Callithrix jacchus: one gene and its partners. The protein of the gene in region 3 interacts with the protein of the main gene of each other region in a pairwise test. Links are inferred from orthologs where the notes say so. Each region holds a gene or a part of one and is shown on either strand. Other genes may lie near its edges.

What was found.
Region 1: the proteins of EHHADH (region 3) and TRIM41 interact in binary tests that used the Homo sapiens proteins (3 or more experiments, as listed by UniProt). The two-hybrid records come from large-scale screens. The link is inferred for Callithrix jacchus from reciprocal best matches to the Homo sapiens genes EHHADH and TRIM41.
Region 2: the proteins of EHHADH (region 3) and ACTG1 interact in binary tests that used the Homo sapiens proteins (3 or more experiments, as listed by UniProt). The two-hybrid records come from large-scale screens. The link is inferred for Callithrix jacchus from reciprocal best matches to the Homo sapiens genes EHHADH and ACTG1.

Annotation. Positions count from the first base shown.
Region 1 is NC_133503.1:73,626,858-73,630,603, forward strand, and holds the start of TRIM41 (E3 ubiquitin-protein ligase TRIM41), read right to left. Parts: upstream 2,429-3,746; 5' UTR 1,712-2,428; coding exon 902-1,711; intron 1-901.
Region 2 is NC_133506.1:137,174,504-137,178,249, reverse strand, and holds the start of ACTG1 (actin, cytoplasmic 2), read left to right. Parts: upstream 1-957; 5' UTR 958-1,026; intron 1,027-1,405; 5' UTR 1,406-1,411; coding exon 1,412-1,534; intron 1,535-1,622; coding exon 1,623-1,862; intron 1,863-2,136; coding exon 2,137-2,575; intron 2,576-2,657; coding exon 2,658-2,839; intron 2,840-2,931; coding exon 2,932-3,075; 3' UTR 3,076-3,746. UniProt on the Homo sapiens protein: Actins are highly conserved proteins that are involved in various types of cell motility and are ubiquitously expressed in all eukaryotic cells.
Region 3 is NC_133516.1:14,236,153-14,239,898, forward strand, and holds the start of EHHADH (peroxisomal bifunctional enzyme), read right to left. Parts: upstream 2,559-3,746; 5' UTR 2,532-2,558; coding exon 2,461-2,531; intron 1-2,460. UniProt on the Homo sapiens protein: Peroxisomal trifunctional enzyme possessing 2-enoyl-CoA hydratase, 3-hydroxyacyl-CoA dehydrogenase, and delta 3, delta 2-enoyl-CoA isomerase activities. Catalyzes two of the four reactions of the long chain fatty acids peroxisomal beta-oxidation pathway.

The DNA of each region.
Region 1 (3,746 bases), on a different chromosome or scaffold from region 3:
AAAAGATAAACAACAGACATCCAAATGGTGGTGGCATTTTTAATATACACCAGGAGAAGGGATGGTAAATAACCAAGTCAATCATTACTAAAGCTCTGTGGCTTTCTGTATAGTACTTAAAACCTCTCACTTTGTTTCCCAATCTATAAAATGGGAATGGAAAACCTATCAAACTTACAGTGTTGTTTGGGTTTTAATGAGTCAGTCCATGACAAGTGCCTAGTACAGTGCCAGGTATACATACAAACGTCCAGTGAAAAGTAACTATCAATCCTGGAGAAATTAAAGTTCAAAGACACTCAGATCAGACACTTAACCAAGATTTGACAGTGCAACTTGCAGAGCTAGGTCTTCTGACTGAAAAGCTCCTCTTTTCTAGTCAGTACATAAGACTGACACAGAAGAATCAACCAAAGTCCTTGAAGGCAGAACCAAGCCATATTGTGGTGGGAGGGGAAACCATTGGGAGTTAAGTACAGGGCATTTGGGTTTGACGCTGAATACTAGCAGTCATCTCTGTATTCTGCTTTTGAGCCTTTCCTTGTTCTTTGAAGCCCCCAGTTCTTTCCATCTCTAAGTGTTTCCGTCAAGGATAGACTTAAGACTCACCCGAAAGAAAAGGAGACTGCTGATAACGCCCTAGGGACCTGATCTGGCATCACCTGCTTTGCTCTATTTGAAAAAGCCACCATTCCCTGGTGGTCTTCACTGCATCTGCTCGGTATACAGGATCCTTCTCATTCTAACCCACCCCGGTGGCAGTAAGTGCTTAGATAAGCAAACACAGTTCACCAGTGCTATCAGGGTCTTTGGTGGATGAAGAGATTTTCCTTTTCCCAGCTCCCCTTACTTCCTTTCCGCCCCCCACTAAACTCCCATCTTCTCTCTGTACTTCTCTCACCTTATACTCCTGCACCACCTCCTCCAATGGCACCACGCTGTGTTGTTTGTGGCTCCTGGATTCTCGGCACACCACACAGATGGCCTCTTCGTCTACCTCGCAGAAGAGCTTCAGAGCTTCTTGGTGTTTGGGACAGATGCCTTGATCGGTTACACGACTCCCTCGACCAGGGTTTGGGTGCATCTGCCGAATCACCTGGACCATATTGGCCAGTTGCAGGTTGGGGCGGAAGCTCCGCCGAGGAAAGCTCTTTCGGCATTGGGGGCATGTGAAGCACCTCCGAGGGGCGGGAGGTGGGGGTAGTGGGGTGACGGGGTCTAGCTCCTCTTCTTCATCCTCCTCCAGCACTTCCTCCTCGTCCTCCTCATCCTCCCCCCTCAGGTCTTCCTCCATGTCCCCCAAGTAGTAGTCCAGGTCTTCCTCCTCATCCTCCTCCTCCCACACGTAGTCCATATTGTCCCAGCTGGACCTGCCCATGCCACTGGTCCAAAACACACCCTCTTCTTCCTCCTCGACCTCCTCCTCCATGTCACCCTCGTAGTCTTCATCCCGCATGGGGGTATCCCACCCTGCACCAGCCCCCACAGCCTCCACTTCCTCTTCCTCTCCGTCTTCCTCCTCCTCCTCCCGATCTAACTCATCCCTGTCCTCCTCATCCTCCCCACCCCACAACTGGGTTACACACACTCGGCAGAAGTTGTGCCCGCAGCCGATGGACACGGGGTCCGTGAAGTAATCGAGGCAGATGGCGCACACCGCCTCCTCCTGAAGGGTCTGCACAGGGTTGGGTGTCATGGCAACGGCAGCCATCTTAGTGTCCAGCCAGCCAGTGTAGAGGTGCGGTGGGGGGCAGGGGGCGGGGGTCTTCCTCCACCGACGCCAGGGCGACCCGGCCCCACCCCCAGCCCTGCCCCTCCACACCTTGCTCCAAGAGCAGCCAGAGAGATGTCCTCCAGACAACCCACACCGCCGCACAGAGTTCCCTACTCCCGAACGACAACCGTGTCTCAGCGAGGGGAGGGGAGGGGAGGGATGGGGACCGAACTGGGCGCCACCTTCAAGTCCCTCAGGTGGCTCTGGGTGCAAATCTGTCCCAATGCTCCCTTGGACTCCTCATAAACCCCCGCCCCTCCTCACTTCCTGGCCCCGCCCCTAGCTTCCGGCCTCCTTCCAAACACTTCCGGCGTCGACACACCACCTAAGTTCGCGACTTTCCTCCGCTGTCGTGCTACTCCCCCTTTTTCCCCCTGGGGCCCCAGGACGACAGGAAACGGCGAGGAGACGCTCTAGCCCGCATTCGAGAACAGGGCGGGAGGGCTAGGACGGTGGAGGCCCACGTCTCTGTGGTGCGGGGCCAGGGCGAAAGCAGAGAGAACAGAGGAACCGCCTACCCCCATCCCCGGCCGCTGGGGAGAAACTTCTGGGGGAGGAGGGAGCGCTTGGTGGCCGTCTGCCTTCGGTGCTATGACAGCATCGGCCTGGCGCCATCCTACCCACCCGGCACAGTCGACTGCTGCCGGTACTCCCAACAACCGATGCCGGAAGCGAAGGGGTGGGTCCGCGGAGCGCTCTGACGTACTTCCGGCCCTTCTAGGCAGACGACTTTGTGGTGGAGGACTCAGAGGATCGTCCGGGTCTGACTTGGGGGCGGGGCCTGAGAAAGCGCGGCGAGGGTTGGGATGCAGTCGCCCCACCCTTCCAACTGTATTCTGCATTCCGCATCCACGGTAGAAATTGCAAACCCAACGCTGTCTCATGGTTTAGATGAATTTCCCTAACTGCCCAGCAATAAAGAAGTGGTGACGAATCATTACATCTACATTCTCACAGCATCTCTGCAAAAATAGATGCTTTGTGCAGTCGAAATAATATTTGTTGCTTAGATAGCTTTTTAAATTTTATTTTTTCGAGACAAAGTCATGCTCCGTCGCCCAGGCTGGAGTGCAGTGGCACGATCTCGGCTCACTGCAACCCCCGCCTCCCGGGTTCAAGCGATTTTTCTGCCTCAGCCTCCCAAGTAGCTGGTATTACAGGCACGTGCCACTGCGACCGATTACTTTTTGTACTCTAAGTAGAGATGGGGATTTCACCATTTTGGCCAGGCTGGTCTTGAACTTTGTACCTCGTGATCCGCCCACCTCGGCCTCCCAAAGTGCTGGGCTTACAGGCGTGAGCCACCGCGCCCGGACTTAAGTTTTTTTTATTTTTTTTAATTTTTTTATTTTTTAGACAGAGTTTCGCTCTTGTTACCCAGGTTAGAGTGCAATGGCGCGATCTCGACTCACCGCCAACCTCCGCCTCCTGGGTTGAGGCAATTCTCCTGCCTCAGCCTCCTGAGTAGCTGGGATTACAGGCACGCGCCACCATGCCCAACTAATTTTTTGTATTTTTAGTAGAGATGGGGTTTCATCATGTTGACCAGGATGGCCTGGATCTCTTGACCTCGTGATCCACCGCCTCGGCCTCCCAAAGTGCTGGGATTACAGGAGTGAGCCACCGCGCCTGGCCTAAGTTTTATTTTTATAGCGACTGTTGATGTCAGTAGTATATAAATAAATAAATAAATAAATAAATATTGGCCATGATTTATGTACAGAATCTCCAGTGAGTGTCGGACACGGTGTGACGCCAGGGCTGGGCCTGCAGAACTTACTCGGCTCTCAAGGCGGCTCGCGGGAAAACTCCAGATGGGTGTCGTGCTTCCTACGGGGGTGGTCCGGCCTCTGAGGATGTCAGATCAAACGTACCAAAACCACAAACCCTCGTGGGTGAACTATGCTAGGCCATGCCAGGAGCTGCGTACTCTGCTGCAGTAGAAAAGTACGGCCCCAGAACTGGGACACCA
Region 2 (3,746 bases), on a different chromosome or scaffold from region 3:
GACCAGCCAGCCTGTGCCCAAACCCACGCCAGCCCTGACCCCCTGCCTTTAACTGGCCTCGAAAACAGGGAGGGGATTCCCCGCGGCCTCCCCAGACTGGGGAGCCGACCTTCAAGAAAGTCAAGATTATGGTCTCTACCTCAGTTTCCCTATAATGTCTACAGGTGAGCAGCATGAAACAAAGGCCTCGCTGCGCACCGCCTACTCAGCAGATAGGGGGCGGGATAGCCCCTACCCGGAGCCTGCGCCTGGGGCAAACCGGGCCTGTGATTTCAGGGACAGGGATGTGTCGGCTCGGGTAGAAAGGGGTATCGGGCTCCAAACCCACGGAGACCCGGGGCGGGGCGCCCCGTGGAGGGACCTGTGGGGTAGTGGCTGCGTTCGGGGACGGGAGGCTTCTTCCTATGGTGACCGGGGCGAGGTGAGGGCTCCCCCGCACCTAGAAACGCCGAGCGCCGGGGATCCCCGCCGCGCCCCTCCCCCAGCCCGGCCCGGGCGTGGAGCCCGAAGGGAAAGCCCGCAGGGGACGTCCCGGGGAGCAAAGCCCCGCAGCGTGGCCCGGACCGCGGGGACCCACCCCAGCTCCCGCATGGCCCCGCCCCGGGTCAGGCAGTTTCGGGGCGCAGCCCGGCCCTCCCCACACGGCAGTCCCGGGTCGCAGCCAGGCCCGTCAGCCCTTCGGCCTTCCGAGCGACCCCGGGAGGGAGACCCCACCCAGCCCCCCTCGCCAGCCCCAGTGTCGCGAGCGCGCGGGGGTGGCGCAGGCGGTGCCGGTGGGAGGTGGTGCGGGCTGGGGGCGGGGCGGACCGGGGCCCCACGTGACCAGGCCGGGCGGGCCAATGAGCGCCCGGCTTTCGGAAAGATCGCCATATATGGACATGTTCTGGGGCCGCGCGCGCCGCCGGGCCGCGCGGGCGCGCTGCTTTCTCTTAAAAAGCGGCGCGGGAGGCCCCAGTCGGTCTCAGTCGCCGCTGCCAGGTCGCGTACGGTGTTCTCTTGCTGCTCCGCTCCCCTGCTCCTCTGCTGGTAAGCGCTCCTCATCGGACCCGAGGAGGATGTTTCTGGCCGTCCCCCCTCGACCCCCGCGGGCCCCGCTTTCCGCCGCGGACGCTTCGCCGCGTCGTTTTCGGGAACAAAAGGCTGGCTCCGCCTGGGTGGGCCACGCGGGTACCGTTGGGCGGATGCCGTAGGTTTAGGGCGGGGCCCGGCCGCAGTGCGGAGTTCGGGGCGGTGGGCTTTACGTAAAAGGCACGGGTGCTGGTTCAAAGCTGTTGTGGTGTTGGAGGCTTCGGCTTCCGGGGTTGGGGTGGAGCGTAACGCTCCTCCGCCGGAGGGTCTTGGTTGGCTCTGGGTGGCGGGGTTGTTTTCCAGCGGGCCCCGCCTGAGTCCGTCGCTTTCCTGGCAGGTCGCAATGGAAGAAGAAATTGCTGCGCTCGTCATCGACAATGGTTCCGGCATGTGCAAAGCTGGCTTTGCTGGGGACGACGCCCCCCGAGCCGTGTTTCCCTCCATTGTCGGGCGCCCTCGGCACCAGGTGAGTGGAGGGCGCCACGGGGCTCCTGGGTTCTGCGCTGCGGGATGGGATCGGGGGCCGCGGCGAGCCTGATGGCAACTCCCTGCAGGGCGTGATGGTCGGCATGGGCCAGAAGGACTCCTACGTGGGCGACGAGGCCCAGAGCAAGCGCGGCATCCTGACCCTGAAGTACCCCATCGAGCACGGCATCGTCACCAATTGGGATGATATGGAGAAAATCTGGCACCACACTTTTTACAATGAGTTGCGTGTGGCCCCGGAGGAGCACCCCGTGCTGCTGACCGAGGCCCCCCTGAACCCCAAGGCCAACAGAGAGAAGATGACTCAGGTGAGGCTCGGCGATGCCCGTGCTCTCGTCCGTTTTCCTAGTCATTTTCTGCCCAGCTTGATTTCTGACATTTAAGTGTTTCTTTCGCTGTTCCAGGCTCTGTTCCTCTCCCGGCATTTCCTCCCTGAAGCCTCCAGGTTTCTTATTTGGTTTCTGCCTGCGTTCTTTTCTGTTCTCCACACATCACACTGGCATGCAGCATGTTGTGGCGTGTGAGCATGGGGTGGTCGCGGGTCCTTGCCCCTGACTAAGCCGTCTCGTCTTCTACCTTCAGATCATGTTTGAGACCTTCAACACCCCAGCCATGTACGTGGCTATCCAGGCCGTGCTGTCCCTCTACGCCTCTGGGCGCACCACTGGTATTGTCATGGACTCTGGAGACGGGGTAACCCACACGGTGCCCATTTATGAGGGCTATGCCCTTCCACACGCTATCCTGCGTCTGGACCTGGCTGGCCGGGACCTGACCGACTACCTCATGAAGATCCTCACGGAGCGCGGCTACAGCTTCACCACCACGGCCGAGCGGGAGATCGTACGCGACATCAAGGAGAAGCTGTGCTATGTCGCCCTGGACTTCGAGCAGGAGATGGCCACAGCTGCATCCTCCTCCTCTCTGGAGAAGAGCTATGAGCTGCCTGACGGCCAGGTCATCACCATTGGTAACGAGCGGTTCCGGTGTCCGGAGGCGCTGTTCCAGCCTTCTTTTCTTGGTAGGTGTTCAGTCTAAGGGCTTCTGAGAGCGCTTTGATTCTGGGCACCATAGCACCACTAAGGGAGGGCTTTGTCCCCTAGGCATGGAATCTTGTGGCATCCATGAGACCACCTTCAACTCCATCATGAAGTGTGATGTGGACATCCGCAAAGACCTGTACGCCAACACTGTGCTGTCTGGCGGCACCACCATGTACCCAGGCATCGCCGACAGGATGCAGAAGGAGATCACTGCTCTTGCGCCCAGCACCATGAAGATCAAGGTGAGTTAAGGGATCGGTGGCCCTCGGCCTGGCTCAGGATGCCTGGCTGGGGATGCTGTGTGAACTCAAGCCATGCCTGGCTGTCTTTGCAGATCATTGCACCCCCAGAGCGTAAGTACTCCGTGTGGATCGGCGGCTCCATCCTGGCCTCACTGTCCACCTTCCAACAGATGTGGATTAGCAAGCAGGAGTACGATGAGTCTGGCCCCTCCATCGTCCACCGCAAATGCTTCTAAATGGACTGCGAGCAGATGCGTAGCATTTGCTGCATGGGTTAATTCGGAAGTATAAATTTGCCCCTGGCAAATGCATACACCTCATGCTAGCCTCATGAAACTGGAATAAGCCTTTGAAAAGAAATTGTCCTTGAAGCTTGTATCTGATATCAGCACTGGATTGTAGAACTTGTTGCTGATTTTGACCTTGTATTCAAGTTAATTGTTCCCCTTATTTGTTTAATACCCTGTACATAGCAGATTTCAACTTTTAGTACATGTGGCTTGGTCACTTCGTGGCTGAGGTAAAAATGTGCTTGGGGGCAGACAAGTCTGCCTTGGTGAGTGCATGGCCAGCAGTCTCTTAGTTGAGCAGGGTATTCATGTGTCAGAGCTTAGTGTTCTGGGATTGCTCTAGAGGCTGGCAAGGGCTGCCAGTCTGTCAGGGTGGGAAAGTCCAAGCCATAGGACCCGGTCTCCTTTCTTACCTGATGTTTTCCTGCCAGAGCACCATGGGCTGTTACTTGCCTTGAGTTGGAAGCGGTTTTCATTTACACCTGTAAATGTATTCATCCTTTTAATTTATGTAAGGTTTTTTTTTTATTGTACACAACTGTCAAATCTTGAAAGAGATGACAACAAATTTCGGTTTTCTACTGTTATGTGAGAACATTAGGCCCCAGCAACACGTC
Region 3 (3,746 bases):
GGCTGGTGTTTATCTGAATGGAAGCAAACATGGCTGGCTAAACTAGCAATGAAGGATTTAAACTATTTTTTCAGGGGGAAAAATTTATATATGTATATACATGTTTGTGTGTTTGTGTGTGTGTATGTGTGTATACTCAAGTAAGAATCTCTCAATGAGCTGGGAAGAGATGACTTCCCATATAGAATTAGAAATAGGAAGGAGAAAGGAAGCAAGGGAGGAAGGAAAGAAAAGTGAAATAAAAAAATTGAGGAATCTGTTAAACTTGAGGAACTGCAAGGATGTACATTTCCACTTTAAAAAAAAGTTCAAAAAACAGATGAAAAAGGGCAGAGAAGTCCTTATTTCCAAATGGAGAAAATCTTCCTGATGAAACTGAAGTGGAGCCTGGGTAGCAAGGCCTGTTGGTAAGGGCTTGAATAGGTCTTCTGACTAATACGAATGATAGCTGACATCCATTAAATGCCAGTTTACAATTTCCAGCTGATTTAAACTTTATAACTTTATGAGGTAGACACTAACATTTCTCCTGCAAAAAGGGATGGGGGTGGCACAGGTGGTGGCATGGGTGGGCAGGGAGAACAGGTTAAATTCCAGAAGCATTTAAAACAGTTGCCAGAAAATATGCCTAGTCATGGGTGTTAGAGGATGGAACTTTCCCCCTAAGGTCCTAACATCTAGCAATTCTAATCAGTATACAGACCAGTCCAAAATGGACATGTAATCATATTACTTACATTTTTCTTTGTTAAAATCAACATAACAGATATTTTGCTTTTTATTCTGGGAATGCCAAGTTAGTAGACATGTCATCCTTATGTGATTTTAGTGCTGCATTTTTTTGGCATATTACTAAATGCAATAAATCATACCGAAATAAAAATTCTAATGATAAATCTGATGACAGTAAGATTTTTAAATTCTATTAAAATCAGCAGATCTTCTCATTTCAATCTTTTTGCTCCAACAGCACATAAGAATTTTGACCAAAGACATTTCTCTCTATGCCATATATATTCTTGGTAAATTATAATTTCCACTAATCCTATTCCCTGTAGATAGGTAATTCTTTTTTCAAGGCTGATGTATAACTACTTTTTTAAAGAGATGCAGAAGGACCAAATAAATTCATTACTATTCAAAACGACAACACTGATCTCACTTTTTTTTTTGAGGCGGAGTCTCACTTTTGTCGCCCACGCTAGAGTGCATTAGCGCAGGATCTCTGCTCACTGCAACCTCTGCTTCCTGGGTTCAAGCTATTCTCCTGCTTCAGCCTATAGTCCCAGCCCCAAGTAGCTGGGACCATAGGCATGCACCGCCACATCCAGCTAATTTTTGTATCTTTAGTGAAGATGATGTTTCACCATGTTGGCCAGGCTGGTCTCGGACTACTGACCTTAGGTGATCCACCCGCCTCAGCCTCCCAAAGTGCAAGGATTACAGGCATGAGCCACCATGCCAGGCTGATCTCACTTTTTAAAGTAATGTTTTAAGTGCAGTACACACGGCAAGTACTCCCCAGTGAGAAAAAGAAGACAAGGTGCAGTTTTTCAGAAACTGCTGGTACACAGGCTTAGTTGGATGTGAGTCTTCCTCGGAAGCACCAGTCTTGAGGTTTAAACAAATCAGGAGAAATAATTTTGCGTTTGTGAGTCAGGGCACAATTCTGCTTTAATCACTACCTTGGCATTAGTGGGACTTCATTTTTTTTTTTTAATGTTAAAACATTTTATTGCCCAATTCCTAAAGCTTTTAGCCAAACATGGTAAGGGCAGCCTGGACTCAAAGTTGGGGAGTGAGGCTGGATCAAAGTCCAAAATGCAACTAAGTTAAGACCTTTGCATTAGAGACGCCAAAGCTGCAAGTAAGCAGAAGGGTTCCCAGGACGGACAGGGCAACGCCAGCTCCCTAAGTTAGCATGTGTCTCAGCCTCTGTTTCCTTACCAGGAAAATGGGGACGAGAGTTCTCTGCAAAGATTAACCAAGCTAATCTAGGAGAAGGAAAGAAAGAGAGAGAGAGAGAAAGGAGAGAAAGAGGGAGGGAAGGAAGGAGAGAGAGAAAGAAAGAAGAGAGGGAGTGAAGGAAAGAAGGAAGGAAGGAAGCAAGGAGGGAAGGAGGGAGGGAAGGAAGGAAGGGGAGAGAGAGAGAGATGAGAGAAAGAGGGAGGGAAGGAGGGAAAGAAGGAAGGAAAGAGAAAGTGAGAGAGGGAGCGAGGGAAGGAAGGAGGGAGGGAGGCGGGGAGGAAAGGAGGGAAGTAAGGAGAGAGAGAAAGAAAGGAGAGAGGGAGGGAGGGAAGGAAGGAAGGAGGGAAAGCAGGCAGGCTCCTGGCATATACCAGTTGCTCAACTGTCAGTGTCTTTCTCCGTTTAAACCAGCCGGGGACAGTCAAAGCCTCCAGAGCCGCGGGCGGATAAGGCCCCCACGGTCCCAGGGCTGGAGGCGACGGAGCCGGTTACCTGATCACGTTGACCGGCGGGTTTCGGAAGCGGATCAGCGCCAAGGCGTTGTGCCGCGTATACTCGGCCATGTTTCCTCTGTCACCGAGGGTACCTCTGCCTCTCGCCTTCAGGCGAAGCCACTTTTCCGGGCGCGCCAGCAGCCCCGAGGGGAGGGACGCGGGCTTAGCCAATGCGAGCCGGGGCACCGCCTCCTGCCGCGCCTCTTCCCACCCAGGTCCTCCTCTCCCGAGACTCCACCCCGCGCTCCACAGACGCTTGTGCTTTCTCTTTGTTGACTCCCACGCTGCTCCTGCTACAAAGTACCGCAAGGAGAATGATGGAAAACAGGTGTCACTGCCGGCAAGTCGAAGTTTGCAATCCCTGGCCCACAGGAGCCGGCTACTGAGGACAAGTTCTGAGTTCACTGAGTCGGGCAAGCTGTCCGCATCGCAGTATTCATCTTCATGATCCTTCTGAACAGGGACAGATACCTGGGGCCCTGACAGTTATGTGATACTGATACTCATCGGAACACATAAAATACCCATTGTTTATTTCACCTAAATGAGTAGGGTACTGATGAAACAGACTTCGCAAAAATTCTAACAGTGAGAAAATTATGACAGTGGGAGAGATCTGATTTAACCAACCCCTATCTTGCCTTTAGCTACCCTTAATTATTCCTGAGCTTGGGCTAAGTTAACTTTGGGAGACACTTAGTTTATAGTTTAAATGATAATGGCCCTTTCCCAAAACTCAACTGCCTTTGTAAAGCTAAATGAGAGACCACCAGGCTAGGAGGATAGCAGAGCCTGACTTCTGTTTGTTAAGGTGTAGACATAGACCATTGCCAGCCATTATTCCGGAGGCCACCAGATAGACAACTTCCCCATTTACTCCTGCAGATAACATTACTATTGTAGAACCTAAGTTTGGCCCTTTGAGATATCGTTTCAGATTTTTTGCATGCCTGACACTGATGGCTCCTCCTGGACCAGTCAACTGCTCCTGTGGCCCTGCCCACACACAAGTCAGTACAAGAGGCAGCTTCCTTTGACCCCCTAGGAGTTCGTCTCCAACCCAGCCAGTCAGCACTTCCCATAACCTAGCTCCTGCCCACCAAACTGCCTTTGAAAAACCCCTAAGCTACTAGCCTTGGATGAGACTGATTTGAGTAATAACTCCATCTCCCACATGGCCTGGCCAGCCTCACATCAATTAAACTCTTTCTTCACTGCAATGCCGAGGTCTCCTCGAATTGATTTTATTTGTGAAGCAGGCAGGAAGAACCTATCCAGTGATCA